Linked DNA regions of Macaca fascicularis. The protein of the gene in region 4 interacts with the protein of the main gene of each other region in a biochemical or structural test. Links are inferred from orthologs where the notes say so. Each region holds a gene or a part of one and is shown on either strand. Other genes may lie near its edges.

What was found.
Region 1: of the proteins of SNCA (region 4) and PLK2, one has a biochemical effect on the other in vitro, tested with the Homo sapiens proteins (2 studies listed by BioGRID). The link is inferred for Macaca fascicularis from reciprocal best matches to the Homo sapiens genes SNCA and PLK2.
Region 2: the proteins of SNCA (region 4) and APOE form a complex in vitro, tested with the Homo sapiens proteins (2 studies listed by BioGRID and IntAct). The link is inferred for Macaca fascicularis from reciprocal best matches to the Homo sapiens genes SNCA and APOE.
Region 3: the proteins of SNCA (region 4) and SIAH1 form a complex in vitro, tested with the Homo sapiens proteins (3 studies listed by BioGRID, with this or other methods). The link is inferred for Macaca fascicularis from reciprocal best matches to the Homo sapiens genes SNCA and SIAH1.
Region 5: the proteins of SNCA (region 4) and YOD1 form a complex in vitro, tested with the Homo sapiens proteins (2 studies listed by BioGRID, with this or other methods). The link is inferred for Macaca fascicularis from reciprocal best matches to the Homo sapiens genes SNCA and YOD1.
Region 6: the proteins of SNCA (region 4) and GBA1 form a complex in vitro, tested with the Homo sapiens proteins (2 studies listed by BioGRID). The link is inferred for Macaca fascicularis from reciprocal best matches to the Homo sapiens genes SNCA and GBA1.
Region 7: the proteins of SNCA (region 4) and STUB1 form a complex in vitro, tested with the Homo sapiens proteins (2 studies listed by BioGRID, with this or other methods). The link is inferred for Macaca fascicularis from reciprocal best matches to the Homo sapiens genes SNCA and STUB1.

The regions. Positions count from the first base shown.
Region 1 is NC_088380.1:63,914,523-63,918,562, forward strand, and holds the start of PLK2 (serine/threonine-protein kinase PLK2), read right to left. Parts: upstream 2,801-4,040; 5' UTR 2,674-2,800; coding exon 2,404-2,673; intron 1,799-2,403; coding exon 1,691-1,798; intron 1,548-1,690; coding exon 1,431-1,547; intron 1,236-1,430; coding exon 1,106-1,235; intron 877-1,105; coding exon 789-876; intron 291-788; coding exon 195-290; intron 92-194; coding exon 1-91.
Region 2 is NC_088393.1:52,938,337-52,942,296, reverse strand, and holds the start of APOE (apolipoprotein E), read right to left. Parts: upstream 2,801-3,960; 5' UTR 2,755-2,800; intron 1,984-2,754; 5' UTR 1,961-1,983; coding exon 1,918-1,960; intron 477-1,917; coding exon 284-476; intron 1-283. UniProt on the Homo sapiens protein: APOE is an apolipoprotein, a protein associating with lipid particles, that mainly functions in lipoprotein-mediated lipid transport between organs via the plasma and interstitial fluids.
Region 3 is NC_088394.1:44,266,633-44,269,517, forward strand, and holds the end of SIAH1 (E3 ubiquitin-protein ligase SIAH1), read right to left. Parts: intron 2,426-2,885; coding exon 1,575-2,425; coding exon of another isoform or gene 1,472-1,574; 3' UTR 501-1,471; downstream 1-500. Other genes in the region: LONP2 (lon protease homolog 2, peroxisomal), read left to right, coding at 1,472-1,591. UniProt on the Homo sapiens protein: E3 ubiquitin-protein ligase that mediates ubiquitination and subsequent proteasomal degradation of target proteins.
Region 4 is NC_088379.1:95,364,118-95,367,617, forward strand, and holds part of SNCA (alpha-synuclein), read right to left. Parts: intron 1,350-3,500; coding exon 1,207-1,349; intron 1-1,206. UniProt on the Homo sapiens protein: Neuronal protein that plays several roles in synaptic activity such as regulation of synaptic vesicle trafficking and subsequent neurotransmitter release.
Region 5 is NC_088375.1:64,875,947-64,880,208, forward strand, and holds the start of YOD1 (ubiquitin thioesterase OTU1), read right to left. Parts: upstream 2,801-4,262; 5' UTR 2,634-2,800; coding exon 2,291-2,633; intron 1,348-2,290; coding exon of another isoform or gene 1,325-1,347; exon of another isoform or gene 1,322-1,324; coding exon 618-1,321; 3' UTR 1-617. UniProt on the Homo sapiens protein: Hydrolase that can remove conjugated ubiquitin from proteins and participates in endoplasmic reticulum-associated degradation (ERAD) for misfolded lumenal proteins.
Region 6 is NC_088375.1:105,901,645-105,905,144, reverse strand, and holds part of GBA1 (lysosomal acid glucosylceramidase), read right to left. Parts: intron 2,667-3,500; coding exon 2,442-2,666; intron 1,740-2,441; coding exon 1,576-1,739; intron 1,211-1,575; coding exon 1,094-1,210; intron 1,000-1,093; coding exon 894-999; 3' UTR 241-893; coding exon of another isoform or gene 26-240; 3' UTR 1-25. Other genes in the region: metaxin-1-like, read left to right, coding at 26-240. UniProt on the Homo sapiens protein: Glucosylceramidase that catalyzes, within the lysosomal compartment, the hydrolysis of glucosylceramides/GlcCers (such as beta-D-glucosyl-(1<->1')-N-acylsphing-4-enine) into free ceramides (such as N-acylsphing-4-enine) and glucose.
Region 7 is NC_088394.1:1,434,256-1,438,548, reverse strand, and holds STUB1 (E3 ubiquitin-protein ligase CHIP), read right to left. Parts: upstream 2,801-4,293; 5' UTR 2,679-2,800; coding exon 2,520-2,678; intron 2,176-2,519; exon of another isoform or gene 2,034-2,175; coding exon 1,835-2,033; intron 1,748-1,834; coding exon 1,582-1,747; intron 1,529-1,581; exon of another isoform or gene 1,390-1,528; coding exon 1,302-1,389; exon of another isoform or gene 1,163-1,301; coding exon 1,106-1,162; exon of another isoform or gene 1,019-1,105; coding exon 695-1,018; 3' UTR 435-694; downstream 1-434. UniProt on the Homo sapiens protein: E3 ubiquitin-protein ligase which targets misfolded chaperone substrates towards proteasomal degradation.

The DNA.
Region 1 (4,040 bases), on a different chromosome or scaffold from region 4:
CGGCATTGTATACCTTGCTTCCCTTATGCACCTATAAGTTTCTTTGAGATTTGTAGTTTCAAATGGGGGCCTCCCTAGTAACATTGTATACCTGTGTGCAAAGAAACACATCTTTAGCAATGGTCATAAAGCAACTCAAGTGTTAAAATTTAAATCCAAATTTGCTTTTTAATTATTCTGCTGCATTTACTTACATGACACAGCCCAGGGCCCAAATGTCTGATTCACAGCCATGTCCTTGTTTGTTCAGGACTTCAGGAGAGAGATAGTTCGGGGTACCACATATCGTTCTGGAAAGATGAAATATTGAGATCGTGTTAGGAATTACTCCACTATTTAAACTTGGTTCTCTTGACGTGACTTGATGGGAGACAAAATCTTAAACAAAATCTTAATATCTACAGTGAATTTCTATTTGGAAACATTTGACTTTTAGCATCTGAACAATTGAGATCTGACCAAGTGAGTTTTGGTAATTTTTTACAGTGCACACACATTGTTTTAGCCCACATGCAACGTGTGGTTAACCAAATAAAACCAGGGACGTCGTGGCATTTTATACATTTCAGGCCAAGAAAAGACTTCATTGACTGCTTTCATAATCAATTTAGAGGCACAGCGTGCTCTGTCTAGTCCATAGTGGGCATTCAGTAAGTATTTCTTTAAATTAACATTGCTATGATTTATAGATGTTATCACTGGACCTCTGAAACATGAAATGCAAAACAGCGAAGGCATGTTTGGTCTCTCCACAAAACCCTACTAGGATGCATCTTTCGGACTCTTACCTCCTTCTGTGTTCCAAGGGTTCTAGCCTGGCTGCCAAACCGAAGTCCCCAACTTTTAGTTCCATGGCTTCATTAATAAAAAAGTTCCCTAGATGATAAACAAAAAAAAAAAAAGTGAATCCTTTTGAAAATGCATTCTAAACAAGTACACATACATCCACTTTGGAGCCAGGCAGCCAATTGTTATATGAAAGACGCCCATTCAAAAGCAAGATTGCAGACGCTAGATCCCAATTAAGAACATTCATATGTAAAAATAGACAGAGAGAGAAAAGGAACTCTAACACAAAACTCAGCTTTTGGCATCAAGGACTTACCTAGTTTGAGATCTCTGTGCAAGATTTCTTGTTCATGAAGGTATTTCAGTCCAGACACAATCTGCCTGAGGTAGTATCGAACTTCTGGCTCTGTCAACACCTTTCTTGCTTTCAAAATATGAGCCATTGACTAGGAAGAGAAGAAGGAAAAAAGAGAATGTGTCAAACAGTTATCAAAATCACTGGTTTCCCTTTGCAGGATATGCAATGAAAGTTAACTTTGCAGTGTAAATACTGCCACAGCTAAAATACCAGATAAAATACTTTTTGAATACCGTGTTAATTCGGGGTAAGTAAATGTTCTCAAATAGGAGTTGACACTTACCCTTCTACTGCAGTATTCCAAGAGAATGTAAATGTTTTCTTTGTCCTCAAAGTAGTGGTAAAACTGCACTACATGCTTATGATGAAGAATTCTGTGAAGCTCTATTTCTTTGTCAATCTAAATGAAAAAGCAAGGCAAGGCTTATTAGCCTCCAGTCACCTCGGAAAAGCCAGTGATTACACATGCAGAAGACATTTTCCTAACAGGGAAGGGCCATCCCTGCACACAAAGAAAATACTTTACTCAAGAGTCATACACACCTTTTCCCTTTGATGAGGTTTAGCTACTCTGCTGTGAGGAATAATTTTTGCGGCGTAGACTTTGTTATTTGTCAAATCTGTCATCTCGTAACATTTTGCAAAGCCACCCTGAAAAGAAACAAAGCCGAGACGGAATTGAGTATGGCACAAAAATGGACGGCAGATATTTAAAATAAATAAATAAATGGGAAGAAAGAAAAGCAAAAAAAAAAAATTGAGGAATGGAGAAGGGTGGTCAGAGGAAGGCATTCGACTTCGTTAAAGCTCCCTCATGAAGAGAAACGCATTGCTGGAAACAGCAACTTCAAACAGTTTTTTTCCTATAATATAAAGGGGAGCTTTATGGAGGGAGTTGGAGCGGGGAGACATGAAAAATAATGTCTGATGAGACTTGTTAGGAAAATTCCCTCGGAGCAGATGGAGGGAGAGAGGTCTGATACAGAAAGCCCTCGCTTCCAGACTCAAGATGCATTTCTCTGGGCTGCGGGGTGGCACACAGTTGTGAGGCTAAGGCAGGCAAAGCCGATCCCCAGCGCTGCCGGTGCACAAAAGCCAGGCAGCAGGTGAGGAGCCCACCTCGCGCTGGGATCTGACCCCCGAAAAACCTGGAAGCGGCGGGCGCGGGACCCCGCGGGCCTGCCCGGCTTGGGGTCGCCCGGACAGACCTCCCGCCCGCCAGCCCGCCCGGCAGCCCGGCGCCCTCCGCTTGTCACCTTTCCCAGCACTTTGCCCCGGCAGTAGCGCTTCCCCGTCGTGGGGTCGACGATAATCCGCGAGATCTCGGGCCCCGAGTGCGAATGGTGGTGATGGTGGTGCGGGGCCGCCGGGGGCACCTGCGCCTGGGACTGAGGTGGCTGCGATTCCTCGGGGGGCTGCGGCGGCCGCTTCTTCTTCGAGTCCCCTCCGCAACCCTTGCCCAGCGCCTGCTCGCACATTTTGGTGCTGGCGGCTGGCTGGTAGGTGATAGTCCGCAAAAGCTCCATGATAGCCTTGCCGGCCCGCACTGCCCACTGCCACCCCCTAGGCGCGGTCACACGTCCGAGTCGGCCGTGGCCCTCGCACCCCTGCCTCCGGTGCCAACGCGCACCTTACACCCCGGTCCACTTGTGCGAGTGAGAAGGCTCGGCGAAGTCTTATATACTGGGCGGCGGGAAGGGGGCGGAGACTCGATACGCGACACCGCGACACGGCCGACGCCCCGCCCCACGGCCTGCCGAGCGCGCTTGGCCGGGAAGCAGGTCCTGTCCTGCCACCTAGGTCTCGCTTCGGAGCGGAGCCGCGCGCCTCGAACGCCGGCCGCCGGGAACTCTCGCAGCCACGGGAAGGCCTTCAGGGCCGTCTGTGGGCCCTGCTGCCACGTTCTTCGAAGGCTCTGAGCCTCAGTTTAGAAAACAGAATCCCGAGGGCCGATGCCTGGCCCCACCCCCGCCCCAGCCGCCTGGTGTCAGGGCAGTGCCGTGACCGGAGCGAGTTGGGCGCGGGTGTAGACGCAGTCCCTCCCCCGCACAGCCCTTCCCCGCCGCCCCACGACCCGGCGCCTCTTGTGTCAAGGTATCAGGGTGCCCGGAGCCCGCCGCACGGGCACGCGAGGCCTCCTCCGGCCGTGTGACAAGGCCCCGCGCGTGACGCGCTCGTTGGTGTCTAGCTGGGGCAGTGCCGAGAGGCCGTGCGGGTGAAAGGCCGGAATTCGGGGAGCCGGGCATTCGAGCCCATCGCCGCATCGCGCTGGGGCAGACTCGGGCCCGCACGCTGGGATCCCGGGCCGATCGGCCAACAGTGCCAGTGCTGGCCCCCGCCCATCCCCCTAGAGCGAGCCTCTGTCCGAGGTCAGCCCCTGAACCTTGGAGAACGAGGTCGACGCCTCGGCAAGGCGTCCTCCGCCGGTAGCCCGATGATTGGAAAGCAAGGGCGCCATCTTGTGGAATGTTCCGGAAGTGCCGTTAGGTGTCAAGTGGGCAGCGGTTGACGACAGTGGGGCTTTGACAGTTACTGGTACTAAAAATCGATGCCGATTGTGAGTTTGCAGAGTCATCTATGACTTCTTCCGAATGCATCTGTTGAGATGGCTCATGAACTGCCCTGGTTCCTGGAGAGTCAATCCGAGACTTTCTGGGGGTAGGGGGATTGGTAGGATGAAGAGAGCGCAGGCCAGTGAGTGCAAACACGGCTTAGTTTCCAATTTCCAGATTTTACTGTGCAGTTTGACCTAGGAACACGTTTTTTTTGTTTGTTTTGTTTTCTTGTTCTAATTACGATAGCGTAACATTTGAGGACTGTGCAGTATTTTGAAATGCCTTATTTAATCCTACAACAATTCTGAGTGAGTAATATTGTAAGGAAGGAAAAATAA
Region 2 (3,960 bases), on a different chromosome or scaffold from region 4:
AGTGAGACCCCATCTCTCTGTCTCTATATAAAAGAGCTAGTGAAGGACAGAGACAGAGCCAGGACGAGTGTGAGAGGCTGAGTCAGAAGGGAAGAGGGAGAAACAGAACTGAGAGAGAGAATTCCAGAGAGCTAAAGCCAGGAGTCAGAAATGGGAAGAGGAAGCTAGAACCAGCAGAGACCCAGGACTCCCAAGACTTAGTGGCAGGGGCAGAATGAAACCTGGACCTGGGGAGGTATAGCCGCCCACCAGAAGGGTCAAGGGCCGGGATGGGGACACTCACGTCAGTTCCTGGGTGACCTGGGGGCTGAGCAGCTCCTCCTGCACCTGCTCAGACAGTGTCTGCACCCAGCGCAGGTAATCCCAAAAGCGACCCAGTGCCAGCTCCCAGGGCTGGCCGCTCTGCCCCTCAGCCTGCTGGCGAAGCTCGGGTTCCGTCTCTGGCTCCACCGGTTGCTCCACCTTGGCCTGGCATCCTGTGTGGAACAAGTTGAAGGTGGTTCAGGTTCCTTCTGACCCCGTCCAGGCACCTAGTACCTAGGGGCACACAGAAGGTGCTCCACAAATGCTGCTTTGGAGCCATGGTGGGCAGGGTGAGGGGGGAGTCTGTTTAATCACTTGAAAAGCGTTATTTATTTACAGACAGGGTCTTGCTCTGTCACCCAGGCTGGATTGCAGTGGCCTGAACGTGGTTCACTGCAACCTTGACCTTCTGGGCTCAAGCAATCCTCCTGCCTCAGCCTCCTGAGTAGCTGGGACCACAGGTGTGTGGCACCAGGCCTGGCTAATTTTTGTATTTTTAGTAGAGACAGAGTCTCACTATGTTGCCGAGTCTGGTGTTGAACTCCTGGGCTCAAGTGATCCTCCCACCTTGGCCTCCCAAAATGCTGGGATTACAGGGGTGAGCCACCGTGCCTAGCGGAAAAGCATGTATTGAGTGTCCTTGTGTGTCCCAGGCAGGGCTGTGTGGGGTGATGGAGAATAAAGATCACAGCTGTCCCGTGTCTGGTATTCTAAAGCAATGCATTAGAAGCCTCTTAACTCCCAGCTGGGCGCGGTGGCCCACGCCTGTAATCCCAGCACTTTGGGAGGTTGAAGCAGGCAGATCACCTGAGGTCAGGAGTTCCAGACCAGCCTGGCCAACATGGTGAAACCCCGTCTCTACTAAAAATACAAAAAAAGTTAGTCAGGTGTGGTGGCATGTTCCTGTAGTCCCAGCTACTCCGGAGGCTGAGGCAGGAGAATGGCATGAACCTGGGAGGGGGAGCTTGCAGTGAGCTGAGATCCTGCCACTGAACTCCAGCCTGGGAGCCACCGCACTCCAGCCTGGGCGACAGAGGGACTTCATCTCAAAACAAAACAAAAACAAACAAAAACTTCTAACTCCTATATTAAGGATGGGGAGGCCGGGCGCGGTGGCTCACGCCTGTAATTCCAGCACTTTGGGAGGCCAAGGCGGGCAGATCACGAGGTCAGGAGATAGAGACCATCCTGGATAATACAGTGAAACCCCTTCTCTACTCAAAGTACAAAAAATTAGCCGGGCATGGTGGCGGGCGCCTGTAGTCCCAGCTACTCGGGAGGCTGAGGCGGGAGAATAGCGTGAACCCGGGAGGCGGAGCTTGCAGTGAGCTGAGATTGTGCCACTGCACTCCAGCCGGGGCGACAGAGTGAGACTCTGGCTCAAAAAAAAAAAAAAAAAAAAGCGGGGGCAGGAAACCGAGGCTCACAGAGCGTCAAATCGCTGTTCTGAGCCAGAAAGCAGCATAGAAGCCTCAGACCTGGGCTTTCCCCTCAAGGGGAAGACAGACCAGCAGAAGAAGAGGGGGCCCGAGGTCTGCCTGAATGGGGCCAGGAGGTTGAGGTGAGGATGAGAGGGGGAGGAGCAGGGAAACCGAGCAAGCCCCGCCCCCATACCTGCCAGGAATGTGACCAGCAACGCAGCCCACAGAACCTTCATCTTCCTGCCTGTGATTGGCCAGTCTGGGGAGGGAGAAACAGTCAATCAACCGCCAGTGAGGACTCCTCCCACTCCCAGCCCGACCCCAACCCGGCCCCACCCCAGGTTAGCCTTCCAAGCCTAGTTCCATTATCTGCAACAGCCTAATCCTAGCACAAACAGTTACCAAGCCGCCCCCAACCCATTCCCTATTTAACTCCCTCCTGGTCTTCTCTTATTTCCCCATCCCCAGGTCGGCCTCCATAGTCAAAATTCCATCTTTCTCTCCCGGGGTTCAAATTCCACACCCCCTCCCCCTCCCCACCGCCGGTTCCATCTCAGTCCCAGTCTCGCATTCCTCATTCTCCCTTCACATTCTAAGCTCTAACCTCACATTTAAGCGCCGTTTTCCATTTATGAGCTAATTCAGTCCTCATTTTAAAGTTCTCCAATCGACGGCTAGCTACCGTGTCGCTGCCCCTGGCTTCCCTGTTATGGAGATCTGAGGACACTGGGGACACCCAGTAGGTGCTCGATAAATGACAGTGACAACTCGTGGGGGTCCTGCTGTGGCTTAGCTCCTAGTCCACATGCTCTGCCCACCCCACCTTCTAGCGGGTCGGGTCGTCTCTGCTGCCCAGCCCTTACCAGGTCCAGTCCCCTGCTGCTGGCCTCACCCCCGCTCCTCCTATCCCCAAGCCCGACCTCGAGTAGCTCTCCTGAGACTACCTGGAGGCCAGGGCTTCCCGAGGTCCCAGCTACATCTTTCTAGAGGCGCCTGAGCTCATCCCCGTGCCCCCGACTGCGCTTCTCACCGGCTCCTGGGGAAGGACGTCCTTCACCTCCGCTGGGGCTGAGTAGGACTCAAGGATCCCAGACTTGTCCAATTATAGGGCTCCCCCTGTCCCGCCCCCTCCTCCAGGGATAGGGCGGGCTGGGCCAGCCCCCAGTCACGAGGTGGGCTGTTCTCCCCCTGCCCCAGGCACAGCAGGGCAGAGGGAGGAGGTGGGGCATAGAGGCCTTTTGACCACCCCCCACAGTCCCCAGGAAGTGAGGACACCTCGCCCAGTAATCCAGACACCCTCCTCCATTCTGGGGGCCAAGCGTGGAAGGGGAATGTGCAGGCTGCCGCCCAGAGTCCTCCTTCCCTGACCCTGTCCTTTCCTGTGCCTGGATGAATGCAATCTGGAGAGGGGGCTGGGGATCTGGACTCCTAGATCCCAGAAAGAAAGTAGGGATAGGGGGCTGGACAGAAGTGGGATGGGAGGGGCTGGGCGCGGTAGCTCACGCCTGTAATCCCAGCACTTTGGGAGGCCACGGTGGGCGGAACACTTAAGGTCAGGAGTTTGAGACCAGCCTGGCCAACATGGTGAAACCCCATCACTACTAAAAATACAAAAATTAGCCAGGCGTGGTGGCGGGCGCATGTAATCCTAGCTACTTGGGAGGCTGAGGCAGGAGAATCACTTGAACCCAGGAGGTGGAAGTTACAGTGAGCCGAAGTCTCGCCACTGCACTCCAGCCTGAGCAAGAGTGATGCTTTCTAAAAAGAAAAACAAAAAAAGAAAAAGAAAAAAGAAAAGAAAGTGGGGCTAGGCGACTGGACAGAAGTGGGATGGGAGGGGGGTGGGAACAGTGTGGTGCATCTGCTAAAAGTCTAGGCTTTGCGAGTGGGACCTGGGTTTTAATCATAGCTTCCTCTTTGGTTGTGACCTTGAGCACAGGGGACCCACCCCTCCCCACGTGTAAAATGAGATTCCAGCACCTCCCCCTGGCTGCCACAGGCATTGTGGTTTCCAGGGTCTTGAAGCTGTGCTTCTGGGTTAAGGTTAGGATTCTGGAGTCAAACTGCCAGGGCTTGAATCCTGACTCTGCCAGTTGCCAGCTGTGTGACCTTGGGCAAATGACTTGTCCTCTCTGAGCATCGGGTTCCTTTGCTCATCAGACTGGGAAAGCAGTGACACGGATATGTTTGGTGACAAGCTAACGTGTATGGAGCACGGAGGACAGCCTTGGCACAG
Region 3 (2,885 bases), on a different chromosome or scaffold from region 4:
TGCTGATATGAACAAAGCACTGTTTGAGGTAACATACCTGTACCCCATTAAAACTTTTTAAGTAGCTACCATAATTTAACCCCACTTTACACATTAGGAAACTGGGGCCCAAGGTCACACAGCTGGTTAGTGGGGTAGAGCCGAGACTGGCACTTAGGTGCCTGAAGTCTGGCTGCAGAACCAAGGCTCTTAACCACTAGGCTATGAAATAGTAAATTTATTATTTCATTGTGCTTTTTTAAAGAGGTGAAAAGTGGTCAGCATTTTAGTCATTCTCCTGACAGTTGTAAGAATCAAAATGTGGGCAAGAGGGGCAGAGCATGGGAAAGACTGTAATCCAGAAGCCATATACCCAGTTATTTGCTGTGATTTAGAGTATAACTCTACCACACTTAAAAATGACAACACACAGCTTTCTGCTATATAATTAAAGTACGGAATGAAACAGGAAAATAACTTTGGATTTTATCAAACTTAGAGCTAAAGCAGACACAGTAAGATTTTTTTAATTTGCCAGAAATTCTTTTAATGAGAATTATAAAAGACCAAAAACATTTTTTTGCAAACTGCCTTTTTAAACAAATGATTTGCTTTTAATTACAAATACTGTGCATGACGATGCCTTCTTTTGCAAAACCAATAAATACAAGAACAAATTTTAAACATGTGATTTATCCAAGATATTTGAAAAAGGAAACAAAAGCCTGATTTGCAGTACTTATAAAAATCAATTTATTCTCTAACCTTTCAAAGATTAAGCTCAAAGGTGTGACTCATCCGTAGAAGAGAGAAAGAGAGAGACCATCTTACAGATGCTTTAAATAGCTTTTGATCATTTTTCCGATGTCACCTTTACTTTCTGGAACTCATAGCTTCACAAAGTAGCTGATTTTAAAATATTTCTAATGAACTGATTAATGGGGGAAAAGAAAATATTGAACACATGTTACAAACTTTTACCATAACAAGTATGCATATCAAAAGACACTAACTTTAAAATGGTACAAAAAAAGTGAAGAAAAACCTGAATTACAGAAAGGAAAGTCAAATTTATTTAATGAAAAACTAAAATTAATAAAAATTAGCAAATACACACACAAAAAAGCACACAGCAGCACTATGTATTGACTCACAAAGGGGAAAAGCAGTGGCCCATGACCACTCAAGATGGCTTGTCAGTTAAAGGAGAAAAACCCAAACACGCACACACCCACGCACGCACACACTCCCACGCAAAAACAAAACAAAATAACTATTTTTCAACAATACAATCAATCTACAACAAACACAAAACTCAGAATTATTTTACAATGCTTCCTTTCTTAATACAAAAGATGCCCATCTTGGGTGTATATACATATATTTTTTCAGTGGTTTACTGTTGACTTATTTTTAAATATATTAGTGTTACTACATGCAACTGTTTCCTGTATTTAACAGCCTTTCCTTTCATTTACCTTCATGTGTCTAGCTTCCACCTACCAAAAGAATTTTAGGTTGGCAGGCAGATGGGTGCCTTATTTTCTGTGAAACTGAAGTTTTAAACACTGGCCAGAAAATGTTTGATTGCCATTTCAACACATGGAAATAGTTACATTGATGCCTAAATTGCCATTTTCTGCAAAAAGCTGTGCAATGCTGGTGTCAAAGACTAGGCAGTCGCTATTCATAATGGCTGTTGCAATTCCTTCATGAATAGATCGAGGAGTCGCTTCCCAAGTCAATCGTCGCCTGTGACCATTTAGCTCAAGTCGGTAAGCAAAATTTTCAGCTTGCTTGCGTGTTCCTATCAGCTGTACAATTGCAAAGAACTGCTGGTGACCATCGTATTTTTCCTGTTTCTCCAAGACTAACATGAAGTGAAAGCCAAAACAGGACTGCATCATCACCCAGTCAACAGCACCAGGAAGATTAATGTCTGTAGCAAGGAAAACTATATCCTCTCCCTGTAGGGTTGTAATGGACTTATGCTGATGCATCAGATGGGGCATTACAGCATCCAAAGAGCCTTGCCATTTACAGGAAGCACCAGGGCACGGACAGGAATAAGGCCTAAACTCACAGAGCTCTTCGTGGTCTGCTTTTTCTGTGTGTGGCAGAGTTATTTCACATCCAGAAGAGGCATATTTACAGGGGAAAAGTACTGAATTAGCCACTTTCTCCATAGCCAAGTTGCGAATGGATCCCAAAGGGCCCCGGCAAGTTGGACAACATGTGAGCTTTGGGCGACAGTTGCTACAAACAAGATGGCCACTCTGACATTGAAGAATGGGTGGTAACACATAGTCAAAGCAGACTGGACACTCAAAAAGACTCGCCAAGTCATTGTTGGATGCAGTTGTGCCAGTCAGGGCAGGTACCCTCTGGGATGGTGGACACTTCGAGGTACCGGTAGGTAATGCTGTAGCAGTCTGACGGCTCATTTCTGAAATAAATACATAAGGAGGCAGGAGAAAAATAATTATAACCATGACTTATTTTACAAATAATGTTTACATGCCAGAAGTACTTAAAGTTTCATGCAAAATTTACTGAGCAAAAGAGAAAGAAAAATAAATAGAATTTAAAAAGTAACATACTAAAAAATAAAATTACACTGAATGTGCACTTTATTAGGATCTGTACACTGGATAAGCTCTCTTTTCAAAATATTCCGGAAAACATTTGGAACTCCCTTAATCGTCTTTGGATAGACTACATGGAATAATAAATGCTAAAATAGAAGATGGACCATAAACAACTAGAGAAACTATACAAGGAACTGAAGTTTAATCGAATCCGTTTTGCTAGGACTCTCTCCCTGAGACTCCCTTACTCTTATTTCTTTCTAATTTGGAGTCAGCTATTGATAGGTATAGGGAGTTACAGGTGAAGTCCTGGATAAA
Region 4 (3,500 bases):
ATTATTTATTATATTTAAAGGTGAAGAACACTTTGGCAAAGAAAGAAAGAAAAACAAAGGAAGGAAGGAAGGAAGGAAGGAAAGAAGGAAGGAAGGGAAAGAGAAAGAGGAAGGAAGGAAGGAAGGAAGGAAGAAAGAGAAAGAAAGAAAGAAAGAAAGAAAGAAAGAAAGAAAGAAAGGAAGGAAGGAAGGAAGGAAGGAAGGAAGGAAGGAAGGAAGGAAGGAAGAAAGAAAGAAAGAAAGAGAAAGAAAGGAAGGAAGGAAAAGAGAGAAGGAAGAAGGAAGGAAGGAAGGAAAAAAGAAAGAAAGAAAAAGGAAGGAAGAAGGAAGGAAGGAAGGAAGGTAGGAAGGAAGGAGAAAGAAAGAGTAGGGAGACTGAGAATACCAGAGGTGAGAAGAATGGCTCCAATTTTATATAGATTAAGGCAGGCCTCCCCAGTAATGTGTCAGGGCAAGGGTATGCTTGATTTATTCAAGAAATAGCAAGGAGACAGGGAAAAAGCAAAAATCATTTTGCTGTTGTAGTGGTGACATTTGTAAAATTTCATCATTGTTGACACCTCATACCGTATTAGTTTCATATTTAAAATGAAAGTTATAGTATCTTTGGTATAATCTTATTTGTGCCCCATGTTTGTCAAAAAAATTCAGTCAAAATTCTTCTCAGAATTTTAAAATCTACCTCAAAACTATGATCTCTGGTTGGTATATATTTTAAACCTCTTAGTTCTCACAAACATGTATTTGGCAATGAACTGTTATGTAATATGCAAATATGCCATTTAATAAGAGATGATGTCACTATAAAGAAATCAAGTAAAAGAATTTTATTTTGGAAATTAAGAAATTAGGCACAAAGAGATTTGTTATTCCAAGGAAGAGAAATTCCAAGACTTATAGTTAACATGAAAGTCCTCATTCTTTTTGAAATGTCACTGTTCCTTTGACATTTTGCTACATTTTTTATTTCATTAACTTTCTTCTAGAAATTGAAACAATCATGATAATTATAAAATTTGCATGGCATTTATCTGGGTTAATGCCTGAAACAAGCAAGACCAATATAAAGGTAGCACATTTTCACAAGGGGAGGGTCAGGTAGCTGTTCCTCACAGTAAGTGTCCTGCTCCTGCCTCCAGGCCTCACATGAAAATGAACCATAATCTCACCAGCTTATAAATGTAGCACAAAATGTACACACCGTACCTTGCCCAACTGGTCCTTTTTGATGAAGCCAGTGGCTGCTGCAATGTTCCCTGCTCCCTCCACTGTCTTCTGGGCTACTGCTGTCACACCCGTCACCACCGCTCCTCCAACATTTGTCACTTGCTCTTTGGTCTTCTCAGCCACTGGTACAAATCAAGAGCAACAACAGATTAAAGGGTGGTGGAATAACAGTGACTTAAAATCATTCCACTTCCACTAGCCATCGACTTCCATACACCTGTATCTACACATGCCATAGACAACTGAGGGGTCAGAAGAAACAAGCAACCAAGGTGTCCAAGTGAGCGTGGCTCAACCAAACATTGAATCTCGGCTAAGATATTTTTGTTAAAGTCATGCAGTATTAAAAAGTGCTTCAAGTTTAATGATCCAGAATGTAAAGCCATGAGTGATTTGGATTTGTTTTATACTAAGGAAAGCAATTCTTACAGGTGCAGTTATAGTTGAACCAGACTCAACATGAGTATTTCTTTATTTCAATTCAGTGCCAATCCTTTGAGCTCACTCAGCAAGTTCATTTCCACCACACATTCTAAACAACACAATACATACTTGTATTTATTTATTTATTCATTCATTCATTCATTCATTCATTCATTCATTCATTCATTCATTTGAGATAGAGTTTCACTCTTGTTGCCCAGGCTGGAGTGCAATGGCACAATCTCAGCTCACTGCAATCCCCACCTCCTGAGTTCAAGCTATTCTCCTGCCGCAGTCTCCTGAGTAGCTGGGATTACAGGTGCCCATAACCATGCCTGGCTAATTTTTTTTGTATTTTTAGTAGAAACAGGGTTTCACCATGTTGGCCAGGCTGGTCTCGAACTCCTAACCTCAGGTGGTTCACCTGCCTCGGCCTCCCAAAGTGCTGGGACTACAGGCATGACCCACCGCACCCAGCCCATACTTCTTATCTGTGTGTTCAGACACGGTATTATCACATATGTATGAATGACAGCATAAGAAATGGTTTTGAAGGAACTTGGATCTTTTTATAGAACTTCAGGTAGTGAAACATAGGGTTCTTAAAAGCTAACTTGCAGTAATTTTAATAGGAGCAAAGGAGCTGGACAGTATGAAAATGAAGAGGCTATTGAGCACCCTTAAAATTCGTTTTCACAAAACAAAATGTGATACGGTCATTCAGTAGGTTTATTACAATAAGTTAACATTTTTGAGAAGACAGTGTAAACAGTTTGAATTGAGTTTATAGGCAGAAATTTAATTTCATGTCAAAAATTTTCTTGTTCAGTGAAATAAGCCAGAAACAGAAAGGCAAACACAACATAATCTCACTCATGTGGAATCTAAAGAAAAAAAAAAAAAGTTGGTATCATAGAAGCAGAGAGGAGAACAGTGGAGGAGAGTGGAGGATGGGGACACTCATCTAAGGAAATGAAGGCACATTTTCTTGATATGATTTGTACTCCCCAGATAAGCCTCAGTCTGAGAGGAGTTACACCATGTCAGCTCTTTCGTGCTAGTCACATGATTATTGTATAGGTTTCATCTCACCAGTTGAAGAAGCCAATAGTTAAATGGTGTGGACAAAGCAATTCATTTTCAAATAGACTATGTAAGTCACAGAAGCTAAGGGGCCTGTAAGGACAAGAGGCTTTCTCCTTAGTTCAGGCAATGTGGGGAAGCCTGACATAGCCACACAGCCCAAGACCAGAAAGGGTCCACAGTATTGTTGCTCCCTACTTGTCTTTTAGGCTAGAATTTTGTACAACTACCTACCAACTCCGTGCCATTTCTAAGGATATGGCTGATGTCTCCTTAAGAGTAAGAGCTATTTACAATTCAAAGTTCGATTTAAATGCCAGTGAAAAGCTGTACTGAAAATTTTATGTTTTAAAACATTTCTGAAATGTTGATCCTTTAAAAATAGTCAATTATGTGTTTCAAGTTGTCATTTTTTTCGTTTTCAAGGACGAGAATTGAAAATTTTGCTTCAAATGAACATTTTCTTGTTATAAAATCTTGAAGCAAGATTAAAAATAGGTTTTGAATTTTTTACAGATCCAGCCATAAATTTTATAATATCTAGATAACCTTTTATAGATGTATAAATTTTAATCTAGTTTTAATGCAATACACTGCACAGTAAAATGTACTCTGCACATTATTATAATTTCACTCTTTTATTATTATAATAATAAATAAAATGGTTACATGACAAAATAACAGAGTATACAGGTAGCAATCATCGACACATTTAAAAACATTTCTGTAGAACTGGTTTCTCTAGTAGGGTCTCTGCTGACCTTGAA
Region 5 (4,262 bases), on a different chromosome or scaffold from region 4:
GCACAATCAGTTCCTGTTTTGTGATAACATTCTCAAGGATGAGACTCATCCCTGTAAAAATTGCTTGTGATGTACTTATCAGTGGTTAAGCACACATTTATAAAGTATACCAAATTGCAATATAAAATCAGTTTGGACAATTCTGAGTATCTTCATTTGATGAATCAATTCATAATTTAGAAACTTAACTGATTCAGAGTTTTTAAAAAGACTCGGTTACTGGAGACACTGTGGTAAATGTCCAGTGGACTCACAGGAGGCCTTCCACATTACCCAAAATGTGATGCTTTCTTCTACAAGTTAAAGCTGCTGGGTGCTAGTTTATAATACTCAATCTCAATCTTCAGGTCAGTGTCAGTAGGTGGCAAGGATCACCTATTCTGTCACTCCAGCAGAAAGAGGCATGTATGTACAGTTTACCACTGTAGACACACATCTGTAAACTTGCACACTAATTTTAATCTTAACAAGGAATTTCAGTGTCTTAGTGGTTTTAAGTCAAAAGGATGGTTCAAGCATTGTGTCCTTTGTTCTTTAGGGTTACGATAGCTTATTGGAAAACCCAGAGCCTTCTGGATCTGTGAGGTAGTAGACTTCAACCCTCATTCATGCATAGATCACACTTCTCCAAAGTTGGTATGGCCTGTCTCCTTGGCATGTTCCCTTGCTTCTGCTTGTCCAGTTAATCCTTTCTGACATACCATGCATCTCAGGGTGAAGCGGTTGACATCAGTAAACTGTCTCCTTCTTCTAGCTTCATCTGCTAATTCCAGTGCTTGTACAAGAACAATATCATCATTAGAGGAGAAAATGGTCAGAGGAGGTGTATCTGGATCAGGGAAGTTACGCTGAAGTGGATCATAGTGGATGCCATCATAAATAAGCAGAACCCTTTTAGTATATCCTGCATCTTCCCCAAAACGATCAATTCTTACTGTCTGTGTATCCACTACACATATTTCACATTGGTAAAACTTGGACAAAATCGATATCTCTATTGCTCCTCCCCAAGTGTCATCCCTTTTGATCCAGTCACAGTACTCTTGATTTGTTTTTCCCAGTATTGCCTCACTATAGAAGTCCGGATCGCTTGCTACAATTTGTGCTATGAGGCGTCTCATCTCAGGGGCACAAGCTGGATTCAAGACTCCTCCTTCGACGACATAGTACACACTGGTAAAGAGGCAAGAATTGTCTGCTGGGACCACGGTTCTGGTAAGCACAGGCAAAGTTTCCCTGACGTAACTAGAAGCACCACGTTTAGTAAATGCAGGTGAACTTTTGGGCCTGGTTTGGTCTTCTTCAACGATCAGCATGTCACCTGTTAAAAATAAAACAAATCCCGATCTGCAGAGAAATTATAGAAGAAACCGAGTGTTCACTAGCCAAGTCTGTAAATTACAAACTGAAGGAGTTAAAGCATAAACTGGGGTTATTAAAGAGAAGACAGCTTTGCAAATAAGTTACCAGTAACAATCTTTGTTCACTGAATTTTCATAAAGATGAAAAAAGAACAAAGAACAAAGACACTTCAGGTTGCATCCCAATTTAGTGAAGCGGTCTGGAGTAAACAACTTTAAGCTTACCTAAAAAGATACATTTCAAAAACAAAATTTCCTTTCCTTATACAGTATTTTACAGAAGGTGCTCACTACAGAGTAGGCCGCTAGGGGGGTCTCTTCTCTGGGAACTTATCTACTCTGAGTGTTTACAGCGTCCTTGATACAGCAACTGAAAGCTTTTAATTATAAACACTGATGTTTAAGTTTTGATATGGCACAAAAATAACTGCTACTGGTTAGAAATTGAAAGGGCTTTCAGTGGGTGTTTAAAAGCTGACTCGAAAATGAGTATGCCTGTCAAACGAAGTATCTATGAAGGGGATTGCAAAAATGAACCAAGAAAAAAAAAATCCTGCATCCTTGAGATCTCATCGATGATACAGGGGAAAAGAGACATAAGGACAGAGAAAATAGGCCCTACTTCTTCATATTTTTGTGGACGCCGACGGAAAACAAAATGGGATAGTTTCAAAGCCGAGCAGAAAGCGGATTGGGGAAGGGGGACTTCAAGCCTTTGGGTTCCCTTTCAACCCTGTGTCAAGACAAGGAGTTGCTAGACACTTGCCCCGGCCCCCGTCAGAGTTTTCTGTTCTTTGATCTATCCTCGCCCCTGGCCTCAAAGTCCCCCGCCGACCCACAGCCACCTTGCCTTGACTAGTGTTCTGTTCTCTCTCACGCCCCTCTCCGTCCTCCCGGGACTTTCCCTGGCCCCTGCCCTGATTCCTTACCAGATTGGATGGGCAAGTCTTCCAGAATGGTATCCCCATTGCTGAGATCCAGGCACTCGGGAGGGTATCCGACGAGGATTCGCTGACCGCCGGGGGCGATCCCGGTGATGGCGGCAATTTGGCTCTGGAGTTCCCGCACCCGGGTCCGGCTGGACAGCCCCTGCAAAACATGGGTGCCGTCCTTGGCCTTGCAGCGGAGCCGCCACATCGTGTCGGTCCGGCTGCCCACAGGCCAGACACCCGCGGGACCAGCTTTGGTCCCGGCAGCCGGTTGAGCGATGCCGCCGGGGCAACTAGGCGCCGGGTGGACTCCAAAATGGCGACCTTTAGCGGGGCCAAACATCGCGAGAAGTTGCGGGTTGTTACAGTTCTCGCGACGCTTCGGCGCGGCTTCTGCCTTAAGCGCGAACTCTTTTAAAGTGACAACTGATTTTTCCCCCACCCTCAGAACGAAGATGTAAACCTCCGTATTCCTAAAGGACAACGGGTCTTGCTACTTGTAGAGCGAGTGAGGTGCCCTCCGCGTCGGTAGCATATATGCTTAAGAAAAGAGGGCGGGGGAAGGAGTTCCTTAATGAAGCTCTGGAGCTTGGAATGTGACCTTGCACTTAGTGAGGTCGGAAATTATTAAATTGGGGCTTCCACGCTACACCCAGACTACATTAGGAGAAACAGAATCATAGTTCACAACGCAAACGAATGCCAGGAATGGTCACTGAGTCAAAGGACCAGTCAAAAACAATTATACTTGTGACTAGACTCGTGGCTGCATTAAACATTGACTCATTGAGGTTCCAGGGGCCAAAGGACTGGCCTTTCTGCCTCCCTGGGACTGCTTGAAAACGTCTATTTGCCACATCAGAAAGCACAGTATGAGGTCAGCATCTGGGCCCAGGGCAGCTGCCTCATTCAGGTGGTGGCAGTGTAAGGAGGAGTCATGTAGTGCGTGTCATCAGATTCCAGTTCAGTTCCTGGGCATGCAAATATGAAGACTTCATTCCTGCCTTCATTGTAACAAGTATTGATTGCAGTTGGGAGACAGGGTGGGGTGTGAGACACACAGCCACTGAATTTCAAAGCAACGTGATAATGCTAGATTATGTGTACCTTTCAACCGTGTGTGCCTAGAACCCAGGACTGTGAATCGCAAATAAAAAATGTTCAACAAATACTTGCTGAAAGAATAAAGACAGAGTTGTATAGACATAGAGAGGGCAACTAGAGCACTCTGGGAGTTGTAAAAAGTCTCAAAGAGGAGATAACTGTTTGAACTTTTGGAAGAATGAGTTTAATTCCCAGGCGAAGGAGGAATAAAGACATCCCTGAATTTATATGTCTATTTTCCAAGAAATCTATACTCATTGTTCTTTATCCAGCCGGTATCCAGACAGCAAGTCCCACTTGTCTAGAGTGTGTTTATCAAGCATCAAACGGGCCCACTGGGGCAACTATGAAAAGTGTAGTTCACTTGGTCCAAACTCACCTCCACTGTAAAAGACTTTGCTTCTGAATAAATGATATGTAATGTTTCTATCTTTTCACATCTTTCATGACTCAATTTTTTTCTGCTGGTGCAATTTTCCTCCTTGGTTCTTCAAGACACTACAACAGATGATACAGCCTGAGTTGGGAGGTAGGTAGGAGGGAAGGTAGGAGCGGTTAGAAGTCCACTGGGGTGGCCGGGCGCGGTGGCTCACACCTGTAATCCCAGCACTTTGGGAGGCCGAGGCGGGTGAATCACCCGAGGTCAGAAGTTCGAGACCAGCCTCATCAATATGGAGAAATCCTGTCTCTACTAAAAATACAAAATAAGGGGGGCGTAGTGGCGCATGCCTGTAATCCTAGATACTCGGAGGCTGGAGAATCGCTTGAACCCGGGAGGCAAAGGTTGCGGTGAGCCAAGATCGTGCCATTTCTCTCCAGCCTGGGCAACAAGAGCAAAACTCCATCTCAAAAAAAGAAAAAAAAAATT
Region 6 (3,500 bases), on a different chromosome or scaffold from region 4:
CTCACCTTCCTTCCTTGACCCTCAGCTGAGGTACCACCGCCACGCCAGACACCAGCAGGCCCAGAGACTGAGGAGGAGCCATACCGGCGCCGGAACCAGATCTTATCTGTGCTGGCAGGACTGGCAGCCATGGTGGGCTACGCCTTGCTCAGCGGCATTGTCTCCATCCAGCGGGCAACGCCTGCTCGGGCCCCAGGCACCCGGGCCCTGGGCATGGCTGAGGAGGATGAAGAGGAATGATTTGTCCTCACGCTCCCAGGACTGGTTTTTCTACTCTCGTGCATTCCAGAGGCCCCCGTGCCTCCTCTTTGTTGGTACAGCCGGACACGGGGTGCTGCCCCCCAGAATAAAGCCACTCACGCTGACTGGGCTCAAACATTTTCTCCTTTAAGAGCTGCCATTTTTCCTGGCTAGTCCCACAGGAACCATCTGGCTGCCTGGGCACACCTGCTGCTGCTTTAAGGCTTCTGCCCTGATGCTGACACTGCTGCTCCACGGGCCCAGTTCTGCATCTCCAGGAAACACAGTCTCCAGTTTTGGGCCTAGCTTTCCTAGTCTCTTCTTTTCCTTACCCTCACCCCTCATCTTGTGTTTGTACAACAGTGAGCTCACTCTAGGCCTGGGCCCAGGCCCAGTTTCCAAAGCAAGCAGCACACAGTGCACGTTCACATAAGCATGGGGGCTGGGGGGACACTGGGGCTTACTGGTCTTTTTCTAGGGGCCTCCAGCCCCTGGCAATACCTAGAGGGGAAAGTGAATCACCCAAACCACTGCCCTTGGGCTTATGTCGCTGTAAGCGCACCCTGGCCCTGCTGTGCCCTCTTTAGCCACAGACAGCGTGTGAGCTGACTCTGTCCTTTTAATGCCCAGGCTGAGCTTGAGTATCCACTCCATCACTGCCGACGCCACAGGTAGGTGTGAATGGAGTAGCCAGGTGAGATCGTCTCCAGGAAGCCCACGGCAGGATCCTTGATGGTAAGAGGCACATCCTTAGAGGAGCTAGGGAGTGGGGAGGAGAAGCTAAGAGTGTGATCCTGCCAAGGCCCCCGACCCTGTCTTCAGCCCACTTCCCAGACCCCACTGTTGCCCTCACCGGTTTAGCACGACCACAACGGCAGAGCCATCGGGATGCATCAGTGCCACTGTGTCCAGGTCGTTCTTCTGACTGGCAACCAGCCCCACTCTCTGGGAGCCCTCAGGAATGAACTTGCTGAATGTGGGAACAGATGGTCAGAGTCCCTCGGGGTACCGCCCATGAAACTTTCATCTAAGAAGTCACCCACCCGCATACCCACCCCATAACTCCTGCAGAAGCTCTGCCCTGGGTCTCTAGACCTGGAGCCATGCTGCTGGGCACTGACCCTGCTTTTCTACATCGCAGTCCAGCCTCAGGCACTGGGGTTGTCTGTTGCTAGTCACTTCCTGCCTCCATGGTGCAAAAGGGGATGGGTGTGCCTCTCCCGAGGTTCCACCCTAAACACCTTCCTGCTCCCTCATGGTGTAGAGTGATGTAAGCCATCTGATGTAGGAGATGATAAGCCTGATATGGAATGGGGGTGCCCGCCCTCCACTCACCTGAAGTGACCAAGGTGGTAGAACATGGGCTGTTTGTAAAACGTGTCCTTGGTGATGTCTACAATGACGGGACTGTCGACAAAATTACGCACCCAATTGGGTCCTCCTTCGGGGTTCAGGGCGAGGTTCCAGTCGGTCCAGCCAACCACATGGTACAGGAGGTTCTAGGGTAAGGACAAAGGCAAAGAGACAAAGGCTCAACACTGGGGGTCCCCAGAGACTGTAGGTAAGGGTCACATGAGGGAGAAGTGGCTGTGGGTAGCTCAGCCCTGTGAGGGGCACATTACTTAGCTGCTAAGGAGTTGGGGGTGTGAAGATCGAGGCATCTCAAGGGGATCTGAGAAGTCTGAGGCAAGTGCAAGTGCGTCAGTATTTGCAAAAGGGGCTATGAGCCGGGCGTGGTGGCTCACGCCTGTAATCCTAGCGCTTTGGGCGGCTGAGGTGGGCAGATCACAAGGTCAGGAGATCGAGACCATCCTGGCTAACACGGTGAAACCCCGTCTCTACTAAAAATACAAAAAAATTAGCCAGTCGTGGTGGTAGGCACCTGTAGTCCCAGCTACTCGGGAGGCTGAGGCAGGAGAATGACGTGAACCCGGGCGGCGGAGCTTGCAATGAGCCGAGATCGTGCCACTGCACTCCAGCCTGGGCGACAGAGCCAAACTTTGTCTCAAAAAAAAAAAAAAAGGGGCAATGAGGTGTGCAGACCTGTGAAGGAAAGGCAAGACAGGGAATCATGGTTCCCCAGTTGCCCAAAAGGGCAGGCTAGCTGGGCAAAGCTGGACAGGAAAGGTCTGTCAGTCTTTGGTGAGACTACTAAGGGGTCTGGGGTGTGCTTTGCAGGAAGGCAGACTGGGGTGGCTTACCGTGATGATGCTGTGGCTGTACTGCATCCCTCGATCCCAGGAGCCTAGCCGCACACTCTGCTCCCAGAACTTGGAGCCCACACAGGCCTCTGAGGCAAAGAGCATGGTGTTGGGGAACAGGCGGTGTGTCTCCCCTAGGGTGGCTTTGGCTGGAGCCAGAAAGTCCAGGTACCAATGTACAGCAATGCCATGAACATACTTAGCTGCCTCTGGGTCTGTCAGTACCTGCAAAGGAAGAGCAAGTGACCCTGGACCTTACACACAGGCTTCTGGAACTTTCAATTCCTCTTGTAGGAATTCTGGCAATGGGTGTTGGGAAGAATGCAACTAGAGAGGTTTGGGGAGATATTTTGTTTTGTTTTTGAGACAGGATATCACTCCGTCACTCAGGCTGGAGTACAGTGGCACAATCACAGCTCACTGCAGCCTTGACTTCCTAGGGTCAATTGATGCTCCTGCATTAGCCTCCTGAGTAGCTGGGACTACATGGGTGCCACACCCAGCTAATCTCTCTGTGTGTGTGTGTGTGTGTGTGTGTGTGTGTGTGTGTGTGTATATACATATATAGTTTTTGGTTTTTTTGTAGAGATGGGATTTCACTATGTTTCCCAGGCTGGTCTTGAATTTCTTAGGTTCAAGTGATCCACCCACCTTGGCCTCCCAAAGTGCTGAGATTACAGACATGCGCCAACGCCCCGAGCCTAGAGAGGTTTTTTTTGTTTTTTTTTTTTTGAGATGGAGTCTCAGTCGCCAAGACTGGAGTACAGGCTGGTCTTGAATTTCTTAGGTTCAAGTGATCCACCCACCTTGGCCTCCCAAAGTGCTGAGATTACAGACATGCGCCAACGCCCCGAGCCTAGAGAGGTTTTTTTTGTTTTTTTTTTTTTGAGATGGAGTCTCAGTCGCCAAGACTGGAGTACAGTGGCACAATCTCATCTCACCACAACTGCCATCTCCCAGGTTCAACTGATTCTCCCTTCTCAGCCTCCCGAGTAGCTGGGATTACAGGCACCCACCATCATGCCCAGATAATTTTTTTTTTTTTTAAATTTTAGTAGA
Region 7 (4,293 bases), on a different chromosome or scaffold from region 4:
TCTACGGCCGTAAGGTCAGCACAGGGTTGGGGTTGAGCCTTGGGGCTCGGTGACCAAAACAGGCAAGGGTGACGCTGCTGCTCCTGCCCCCAGCGCTGGTTCCTCTACCCACCTGAGAAGACACCAGAGTTCCACCCCAACAAGACCACGCTGGCCTGGCTCCGGGACACATATCCAGCCCTGCCACCGTCTGCACGGCCCCTGGAGTGTACCATCCGGGCTGGTGAGGTCAGTGGCTGGCAGGAGAGGGCCAGGCCAGGCCAGAGGCCCCCAGCTAATCTGTGCTGCACCCCTTTTCTCCACCAGGTGCTGTACTTCCCTGACCGCTGGTGGCATGCCACACTCAACCTTGACACCAGCGTCTTCATCTCCACCTTCCTCGGCTAGCCAAAGCAGCTGGCAGGCATGCCTGCCACACACCAGCACGTCCCATCTCGTGCTCATGGATTTTATTACACAGACAGTGTCGGCAGTGGCTTCAGCCCAGCCCACCCTCACCTGCTTTTCCAGCCCACAAAGGGGGACAATCATGGCCCAGCAAGAGCTATGCTGAGAGGGGGAATAGTCCAGAGCCCAACAGCAGAACTTGAACTTGGAAGGGGCCAGGGTGGCCAGCAACACAAACTATGTACAGGGGTGGAGGGCTTCCGCCCAGGGCTCTCCTGGACCAGGATGCTGGGCAGGGCAAGGCATCTCAGTAGTCCTCCACCCAGCCATTCTCAGAGATGAATGCGTCAATGACTTCCTTCATGGCCAGGTTGGGGATGAGCTGTTCCTGGGTCAGGGGGCTCCGGGTCACGGGGTCAAAATGACCCACGCGCTGCAGTGACAAGAAGGGCAGAGGGCAGTCAGTGGGCCCAGGACCATGCTGCTGGCCCTGCTCCCCCAGCCGCAGCCTCACCTGCAGGTGCTCCTCGATGTCCTTGCGGTCGTAGGTGATGCCACTGGGCGTGATGCACGGCTCCCGCATCAGCTCAAAGCTGATCTTACCACACAGGTAGTCGGGGATGTCACGCTTCTGTGGCACAGGGGCACACGATCAGAGGCTGGGAAGGGGCACTGCTCCAGCACCTGCCACCCACCGCAGCAAGTGACAGACACTCACCTTCCTCTTCTCGTCCACCTGAGAGAAGAGCTCGTCCATGTCTGCCATGTACTTGTCCTGTGAAGAGTTGAGCACTGCACTTGTGCGGGACACCCCACCTCCCTCCTCCATGGGGCACAGACCCAACACAAGGCGGGGATGCTCCCACGCCAGGTGCACACACACAGACCCACATGTGGGAGGGGGGCACCCTCACATGCTTAGCCTCAATGCAGGCCTGCTGGGCCCGGACGTGGCTGTCGTCCTCATCACCCTCGTGGTTCCGCTGGCACTCTTCCAGCTCCCTGGGGGTTGACCAGGAGCCAGTAAGAGATGGACCTGGCCAGATGTCTGACCACACCCCAACCTCAGGGCTAACATTCATGCTTCTTCCCCACGTTTTCTGCTCGCCAGTAAAACCTTCAATAAACGCTCATGTTGGTAGTTGGTGATTCAGAATTACCCCAAGACAGGGCGACCTGGGGTGAGGGTCCCACCTCTCACGCTCCGCGGCAATGAGCCTGGAGAGGTAGGAGTGCAGCTCGCTCTCCTGGTGGATGCGCCGCTCCTCGATGCTATTCCAGCGCTTCTTCTTCGCGATTCGAAGAGCGCTGGGGATGTCGTCCCCGAAGTTCAGCCGCTGCTCCTTGGCCAGGCTGTAAGCTGGGGAACGGGGGCTTCAGGTCACTCTCTGGCCAGTCCACCCGCCTGGCCCCAGGGGCCCCACAACCGGGCAGCTTGTCAGCCAACCTCGCTGCAGATTGGCGATGGCCTCATCATAGCTCTCCATCTCCAGCTGGCACTGCCCCAGGAAGAAGTGCGCCTTCACAGACTGCCCGTCCAGTTCCAGGGCGCGCCGGCAGTCGGCCAGGGCCTGCTCGTGCTGCTGCATCTTCAGGTAGCACAGGGCACGGTTGGTGTAATATACGGCCACCAGCGGGTTCCGGGTCTAGGGACCAAGGCCGGGCCAGCCGCATGAGGGTGTAGGCTCAGCGCGCCCCCTCTGTCCCACGGCCCGTCCCAGCTTCTGCGCTCTGGCTAGAATCAAGAAACTAGGCTTCTCAGTCGTCAAAGCCCCTGGATCCAAGGATCTGCAGACAGTGGAGTACTGGCTGAGCCTATCCGCTTGACTCCACTTGGTTTTGTAAAGTTTTCCAAATCTTTGGAGAGTCCAGGCTTTGGACCTGGGAGCCTCAAGGGGCGAGGGCCCCTGCCCTCCCCCCGACCCGGCCGGCCTCCATCCAGCATCCCACCCTCGTTCTCCGACACCCGGCGCTGGGCTCGGGAACCACGGCTGGGCTTTAGGAGCCCAGGACATGCCCCGCAGAGGAACCAGACCCTCGGTGGGGCCAGCCGGGCACGGGCCCGGCCCTCCCCGGCGCCGCCGCCGCCGCCGCCGCCGCCGCCGCCGCCCTTCCCGCGCGAGCGCACTCACGATCGCGCGGCCGTAGCAGGCCGCCGCCTCCGGGTACTTTCGGCCCACGAACAGACGGTTGCCCTGCTCCTTGAGCTCCTGCGCACTCGGGCTCTTCTCGGGGCTTCCGCCGCCAGCGCCCAGCCGCGCGCCGCCCTCCTTCTCCTCCTTGCCCTTCATGGCGCCGCGCGGCACGGCCTGGGCTGCGCTCCCAAGCTCCGCGCCTGGCGGCCCAGCGCCTGCAGCCCGAGCCCCGCAGCCCGAACCCGCGATCCTCTCGGGCCCGGCCCAGCTCCACCGCCGGAACTTCCGGCCGGGGGCGGGACCAGCGGGGACGCACGGGTGGGGGCGAGTGGGGCCGCGCGTGCGCCCAATCAGCCTGGACGGGGACGCTAGGCCCGCGGCGTCGGGGGCTGGGAGGAACACTCCGGTTCCCTCGCTCGGCGCTCTTAAGGGTCGGCGTTCGCGGAGGCCCTGGCCCGCCCTGCTGAGGCCTCTTCGGAACCGGCCTCGGCGGCGACCGCCACACACATTCGACTTTCCCAGTGAGATGCCTTGGTTCGCTGAGGGCGCACTCCCCCAACAGCCTGTCCCGACCACCTGGCGTTCCGCCCCCGCCGCAACGCGCAGAGACCCCTCCCCAAGCAGCGGGCCCCATCCAGAGGCCCTTCCCCCGGCAGCCAGCCCCGCCCCCAGCAGCCCGCCCCATCGGCAGACGCCCCGCCCCCAACAGGCCGCCCCACCCAGAGGCCCCGCCCCCAGCAGCCAGCCCCTACGCAGAAGCCCCGCCCCCAGCAGCCGGCCCCGCCCCCGGCAGCCGGCCCCGCCCCTCCGCGTGAACATAGTGGCTTCCCGCGCTGTTGGGTGTAAGGACCGCAGTCGCTGGGCCGCCATTCCGGAGCGCCATCGAGAGGTCCTACGGGTGCGCGCGGACCCCCGAGTGCGGCTGGAAGCCCTGGGCCGTTGGTAGAGTGGAAGGGGATAAAGGGATCGGTGGGCGAGCGTACCCTGTGGCCGGACCTCCCCTCACCGCCCTTCCCCAGGTATCGGGAGGAGTTGCCAGCGGCCATCAGGGGCAGAGCGGAGAGCATGTGACAGGGAGCTGGAGCGGCTGCTGGCCTGGAAGCTGGCGGCGAGGTGCGGCCCGCCTCGAGGGCGGGGCCTCCGTAGGGCGGGTCTTCATCGGGGCGTGGCATCGGCGGGGCGGGGCCTCCAGAGCGGGTCTTCGTGGGGGCGGGGCCTCCCTGTGGGTCCACCACGCCGGGCACCCTGACCTGGCTTCTCACAGCATCTGGTGACCACCAATCCCCCTGAGCTGGCTGTGCACTGTTCGACCACCACCTTCTGCCTCCTGCCAGATGTGGGGGCCGCGGTCACCCAGCTGTCTGCCCTCTGCGGTGTGGACCCACCACAGTCACAGCCTCAGGTGAGTTGGGTGGGCACGACTTGGGTACATAAGCGTCCTTGTCTGTGAAGCAGACAGTCTGGGCCCTTGTGTGTCTCTAGGACCAGGAGTCGGAGCCAGAGCTTGTCCTGATGGGGTGTCTGGCTGCTTCTCCTCGCTGCTCACAGCAGTCCTGGTGCCTGGAGCTCGAGATGGAGGCCTTCATGTCAGATGAGGCAGTGGTCACAGTGCCCGGCCTGCCGGCCCCACAGTACACCCTCAGGTACTACCTGCTGTACCTGGGCCAGGTTCAAGAGTGGGCCACAGCTCTGAGCCAAGGTGAACGAACTGTGTGTGGGCAGGCTGGGGTGGCCCGTGCCCCTGGGCCTGAGTCTGTGTGCTCCCCACCTA